Tribolium castaneum: one gene and its partner. Each later gene encodes a partner of the first gene's protein in a complex. Links are inferred from orthologs where the notes say so. Each region holds a gene or a part of one and is shown in the gene's direction. Other genes may lie near its edges.

Region 1 (4,601 bases):
ATTTCTGGATTAAAAAGCAACCTAGAAGATTAAGAAATTGGCTCAAAAGACGTTCATAATTTAACTCAACATTTAACGAGTTGTTTTAAAAAAATATCTTTTGAAATTTGAAGAAAATACTAAATGAAATATAAAAATGTACCTTCTTCGCGTATCGCAGAAAAATTAACGGAAATTAAAACTGCTGAAATACCTGTAGCTATGTACCTATGAATCTTTTTGTTTTTTAAAGATTCACTGTTAATTAGGTAATGTGTAATGTTAGGTAGTTAGACGCAACTTAAGAGATACTCTTAAATGGGCCTACTGTAGACCAATTTTTAATTCGTGATCTTTTTCATGTAAATGAAACAAACATAAAAAAAAACAAAGGTTTATTCAAATTTTAGTTATTATTATAAGTTATTTTTTAAGCAAAGTGAAGTGAAGGTTCGTATCAAAGATATCAATTACCTTGAAAATGTCAACATTAACACTTCTTTCGATAGCCAAAAGAGATAATGAAGACAACCTTTCTTGGCCAATCTTCCTAGTGTTCGTTTTCAACCGCCGCAAGCGAGAAAAAGACCTCTCACAAGATGTTGTGTTTATTGGAATCGCAAAAAATAAACATATAAAGGTCAAAAAGTAGAGGGAACATACTTTTCATAGCCCTTCAACAAAAATGTCGGCTCTTTCTTGGATAATTTTGTTTTTTCATTCTTCCATATTACAAATAATGTTGAGCTGAACAATTTTGGATGGCAATTGCCACCCCCAAATTACGCACTGCCCCAGGTAGTCTTAGCTGGGACAAAATTGTCTCAAAATTGGCGAATTATTCCGAGTTCAGAGCGTTGTAGAGTTCCGTAGCTTAAATGTATGAGAAGACACAAAATGAAGATTTACTTTGAATTGCGTTTTCTTCAAACGCGGGCTAAAAATTTTAGTGTTTATTGTTATTTATGGTGTTCTTAGATGATTGTAGAAAATAATAATTTAAAACTAATTAAAAAATTGTGTAATTTTTTTAGAAAAAATATTTTATTCATTCAACTTGTTTAATTTTTCTTAAAAATGTAACAACAAATTACAAAAACTTAATTTTTTTACACCAAAATAAAGCTATTTTTTAAGAAATCGACAATCGTTTTACATTATTATTCTCAACAATCATCTTCACCATAAATAAGAATAAACACTTAAACTTTTAGTCCGTATTTGAAGAAAACGCAGTGCAAAGAGAAAGTGATCTTCAAACCAAAGTAATGGGGAAGCCCCGAATCTTCATTTGGTTTCTACATTTGGACTACTGAAGCGATTCTTTACTATCTTTACAATGCTCTGAACTCGAAATTCGCAAATTTTGAGACAGCTTGCATTGTAAAACAAAAACCAAAAAACCTCCACACAGCAAGCTAGTAGTTGGCATCACATCCGATTAAAAACTAGAGTTAATTAACAACGATTATTACTACATATTTCTATAATTAGTAATTAATTAAATAATAATATTGCAAAAAAATATATAAAATTCGGTTCAAGGAACAGTCGGCCACAAAAGACAGACAGCGCAAGGCATCGGTCCCCCACCACTTGTCACTTTGACAGCCGTGAATGTCAAATGCAAAAGAAAACAGATGATTATTCCTCAAACAACATAGTTCGTATTATTTATTTATTATTTCTCCAATAAAATGGACCCCGCCTTACTAAAAGAAAGAGAATTATTCAAAAAACGTGCACTTACAACTCCTACGTAAGTAGCATTCGCATTTTGTCAACTTATTCAGTTAATTTTGTTCTACTTTCAGTGTAGAAAGAAAAAAGACTGATTCAAGACCAGAACCAACTCGCGATGATAGCAAAAGGTTTAAGTCTTCTAGTAGTAGCACCCCTAAACTTGATATCAACACGTAAGCAGCAAAACATTGCAAATTTGAATCAATTACTTTGTGATTTTTTTTTAGATACAAAACAGCAACAGGAAGTTCGCAATATCGATTCGGTGTTCTCGCTAAAATCGTGAAACATATGAGGAAGAGACACCAAGAAGGTGAAACATATCCACTCACATTAGAGGAAATTTTAGACGAAACTAATCAATTAGACGTAGGGAATAAAGTCAAGCAAGTAATTTTGTGTCATTATTACAATACTTAAATGTAATGGTGTTGATTTAAGTGGCTGCAAACCGAAGCGTTAGTCGATAATCCTAAAATTGAGGTCACTCCTGACGGAAAATTTTTATTCAAAGCTCCATATAAACTTAAAGACAGGAAAAGCTTACTGAAACTATTGAAACAACAAGATTTGAAAGGGTTAGGCGGTGTGTTGTTAGACGACGTGCAAGAGTCGTTACCACACTGCGAAAAGGCTTTGAAGGTATCATTCTTTTAGTTATTTTCTAAACGAACGACGTACAAATAAAACGTCTCCGACTTCAATATTTTCGGTAATGTCGCCAAAAAGCCCAGTTGACTATTTAAATAACTATTAACACAATTCAAAAAAATACAGGCACATAGAGCATTAAATTTTCAAGAGTAACAACTAAAAATAATGCAAAAATTTCAAACATATTAATTTGCAGTGTGACCCATATTTTTAAAACGCTGTTAATTTGGTTAAAGATACAAGAAAAATGTTAGGAACAAAGTAGTAGAAAAATCAATTTTCTACAAAAAAGTCCGCGACTATTTTTCTTTACAACTTTGTTCTTCACACTTCTTTATACCTTTAAACGTATTCGCTATGTTTTAAAAATTATAACGCGGATTGCAAATTGATAATAAATGTTTATATTTTTTTGCACTTTTAATTTAAATTAAAAACTTAATACAGAAAGAGTCAGAGATTAAGATAGTGGAAACACTTTATTGAAAACAGTGTCAAAAAATCGCATATTTATATATATGAAAACGCTGCGAATTCAACTAAAGATGTGTAAGAAGCATAGATGTAGAGAATTAAATTTCCTACAAAAAAGTCCGCCACATCTTCATTGGTTTAGGTATAAATTAATTTTCCAATACTTGACCATAAAATGAAACGAAACCGCTGTGTGAGCATTTTTAAACATTTTTGGGGCCTAAATAGTTGAAGATGTAGATATGGGGTCGTATGAATAAAGTTGAAGTATTTACTTAAAGTATGAGTATAAAGGAAAAGCATTTGCTCTTGCTTTTACTTCTTTAGTTTTTTGGAGAATCTGCTCTCAAAATAAATCATTGTAGTGAAGTTTTCAATGTTGTAATTTTTAAAATGGATTTCCATCTCCTCCCATTTCGTTGTTCTCACTCAAAAAATACCTAGCCAAAGCACGAAGATTTTTTCGTTCAAACCGATATAAAGTCTTAAAATCTTATCCTATGTGTTCGCGAGGTTGTTTATAAGTTTTTCTTACCCATAGTTGCACAACACCCACCATTGTTTCGAGTTTGAGGTGTTACTTTTAAAAATTGATGCTCCTACTGATTAGCGTCAACAATTTTGAACTAAATCCTCAACGAAAAAAGCATTTACTTTGTTTTATTCATTTTGTTTTGAGTAAAACCTCGACGTTCAAGCAAATACTCGCCCAGTGTGCTTTTACTTTTAGTAAAAACTTATACTTACATTTTTACTCATACAATTTAGAACATTTACTTGCAAAATTTGAAGTAAAAGCATTTACTCAATTGTATTCATACGGCCCTTGGTTTCGCAGATTTTTTAATAGCTATTTATTGTATAAGTGTTTTCGAAAGCATTTTATCCACGCAAGAATGTTTAATATTCTCAAGTGGATAAAATGCGACTAAAACATGAATGCAATACAATGTTTTATCCACAATCGTAAAATTAATCTTGGCAGGCTTTGTCTGGTAGTCATAATTCCTAGTTTATTCCACTAGTGGATAATAGGTCACTATAAGGCTAAAGGGGACGACAGAGTTAAACCAAGTGTGTGGCAAAGACAAGTAGTAATGAAATTTATTTTTCTACTTTTGGCGATATTTGTAATCCAATTTTAAATCGAAAAATGGAATTGACTCTTTTAAATAATTATAATTTGAGACAACGTAAGACTTTGAAAAAAAATTATTTGATATTTTTTTATTAAAAGTTTAAACAAATATTCATAATATTTTTAAAAATGTGTACGGGAAAGATGCACAGTGATGGTACGAACAGAATGCGTCCAAAAAACGAAAAATTTTGTTGTAGTTTTGAACGAATCGCGAATATTCATTTTGACAAAATTTGCCGCCGAGAATCTCCCACAGTCAAGTGCGGGACAAGAGAAAGAGAGGGCAAAAGCAACTAAAGACTAGAAGATGTAAAACACGATATTTCTGTATCCTAGTATTATTCATACAAACAATTATGGTGTTAATTCTATGAACTGAATTTAGTGAAGCATCAACAAAATCTTTTTTTTCACTTTGGAAACAATAGGTCAAATTTTAATTTATTTTTGGTAAAAAAATTATTTTGTCATGAAGATTTCTGATGATAGATTGAGAAAGCTCAGCAAGAAGCAAATAATATCATGTAACATTGAATTCGAATTTTTGTGCTATTAAATTCTTTGAAATACCTCAGACTTTCTCGGAATATGTCGAAACTCTAAGCGAAAC
Region 2 (2,342 bases), on another chromosome or scaffold:
TTTTGCTCCGATTGTAAGGCCCCAACTACCTTAAAGTGATTCTCTCTACTGTAAGTAATTAACACTACACACGCAAAATTGTTAAATTAAAAAATTAAATTAAATATTGAATTACGAAAATTTCGTTACTGTTTTCGACATAGTTCAAAAGTCGTCACCAGAGGGCGTCTAGTTAATTTTATTTCCGAATACAACCAATCACTACGCACAGGAGTGAACAAACATTAACAAATCCTGGTTTAGACATTTAAGAAGTTGAGTTGCAACAAATGTGGCGGTTTCAGACGTCCAAACATGAAAAAAATGCAAATCATGGCACATTAAAGACTTGGAGAAAGGATGCGGCTTTTGATACATTTTAGTAAACACAAGTATGAATCACAATCCATGTTCTTACTCATTTGTCCCAGTAATAAACTAAAGAATCTGAGATAAAGTGTAACACTTACCGCTCTTTCACAATAAGCCCCCATCAGCTTCCTGAGAGGGGTGTGCTTTTTGATCTTGAACTGGACGACAGCATTATCTTGTCCCAGTACTTTCAAGTTGATATGTTCCGTTTCATTGCTCTGCAAAGTCCCAAAAACGTGAGTATCAGTTCAAAATTACGGGAAAAAAACCTCGTTTATGGTTAGGAAAGAAAAGTCATGTTTACCTTCTTTTCGTCACCCATATTTGGCAAATTTGGTTGTGGCTTGTAGGAGGGTCTGGGGCCGAAGTTGATGCACAAATGTAAACGGTTTTAGTGGAATTTGGTGCACTTTTAACCGTTTTATCAACAGACACGCAGCTTGCCGCTAACAAATAATGGCCGGCTTGCTTGCAAAGTAGCGGTAACTGCTCGCCGGAAGTGACTACGCGGTTAGTCAAAGTCGGCTTTAGCTGTTCAAACTTCACACTTCCGCTTGAAACATTTGTAGAAATTTACCACTTCACGTTGACAAAACGTGCTTGAAACAACGCGGTAAATTAATACAAAAAATTAGGCTTTGTTTTCAATATAACTTTCACATGTTTTCTGCGATTTTTTAATAATTTAATCAAGAAATTAATCCTTATTTGTTATTGCCGTCGACAGATGGCAGGCCACAAGCTTCAATTGATCAGGAGCACCAATATTCCAGAAGTGAAGAACCCAGAAATTCACGAAATTAGAAATCAAAAAGCTTCTAGAAAAGCGCAGTTAAAGCTTTTTGAAAGTAATCTAATTTAAAGTCTAAATACCAACGCAACAAATTTTGATTAAGCGAGAGTGTGAGGTACAGAATTTGGTTAATTTTTGATGTGTCAGTGAAAAATTAGGTTATATTTTTTCAGGTTTTGTCGAGACAAGATGATTATACCGGTTCGTTGTTTTACTTGTGGGAAAGTTATTGGAAATAAATGGGAGGCTTATCTTGGGCTTTTGCAAGCTGAATATACGGAAGGAGATGCTTTGGATGCTTTGGGTTTGAAGAGGTACTGTTGCAGAAGAATGCTTCTTGGACACGTCGATCTTATTGAAAAGTTATTGAATTATGCTCCTTTAGAGAAGTAATCTGTAGTAGTAAGTCTGTTAAGTAAGTGTAGGTGTAAGTTTAATTTTATGGCATGTAAAAAGGCGCGTTTTTGAATAAATTTTACTATTATGCCTTGTCTTTCATAAACCAGCATTTTTGCAACATCCTATTTAGTTTTTCCTACTTCACGAGTTCACGGTAACTTTTTTGTTTATTTTTATAAAGTTATTCAAAAAAATTGCATTATCTTTGTTAATTCAACCATGTCTAGAGGGTCAAGAAAGTGTCGATATGGTGATAAGGGATGTCCAGTAAAGTTTAGAAATGAAGTCAGATCTTTTCCCAAGCAACTTGATTTTTTTATCATTCTTGTATTTGTTTTCTTTAGCAACCATTTTAATTGTTGTTTTGTTTCCAGTGATTAATAATATTAATATGATTAATATTAAATTATTTATTGTATAATTTGCTAATTTAAGTGTTTGTAACACCATAAGACAATAATTGTTGGTGATTTTTTTAAAAGATACAGGGTGACTCAGGGGTGCGGTCTGTAACTTTTTTGTTACTTGAAATTTTGCCATGTTTTCGTTTTCATTATTCTATAGATAGACTTAAAGTCCACAAACTATCTTTTTTTTATTATACACAGGGTGTTGTATACATCCTGGTTTACTAGAGTTATATTTTTTGAAATGAAACACCCCATACATTTTCACATAATTATATTCTATGCAAAAAGTAATGTAACTTTAAATAAACTATTATGGGTTTATCTCTTTTCGTTTTAAAATTATTCAACTTCTCGTTATGAAAAAGACCATCTTTAGAAAAATCACTGCG

The links.
Region 2: TfIIEbeta (region 1) and Polr2L share a complex: the UniProt entries of both Homo sapiens proteins name them as parts of the TBP-based Pol II pre-initiation complex. The link is inferred for Tribolium castaneum from reciprocal best matches to the Homo sapiens genes GTF2E2 and POLR2L.

What each region holds. Positions count from the first base shown.
Region 1 is NC_087396.1:10,271,424-10,276,024, reverse strand, and holds the start of TfIIEbeta (general transcription factor IIE subunit 2), read left to right. Parts: upstream 1-1,561; 5' UTR 1,562-1,676; coding exon 1,677-1,738; intron 1,739-1,793; coding exon 1,794-1,895; intron 1,896-1,949; coding exon 1,950-2,112; intron 2,113-2,163; coding exon 2,164-2,364; intron 2,365-4,601. UniProt on the Homo sapiens protein: Recruits TFIIH to the initiation complex and stimulates the RNA polymerase II C-terminal domain kinase and DNA-dependent ATPase activities of TFIIH. Both TFIIH and TFIIE are required for promoter clearance by RNA polymerase.
Region 2 is NC_087394.1:15,049,501-15,051,842, reverse strand, and holds Polr2L (RNA polymerase II subunit 10), read left to right. Parts: upstream 1-1,333; coding exon 1,334-1,537; downstream 1,538-2,342. Other genes in the region: Sumo (small ubiquitin-related modifier 3), read right to left, coding at 450-569, 656-673. UniProt on the Homo sapiens protein: DNA-dependent RNA polymerase catalyzes the transcription of DNA into RNA using the four ribonucleoside triphosphates as substrates.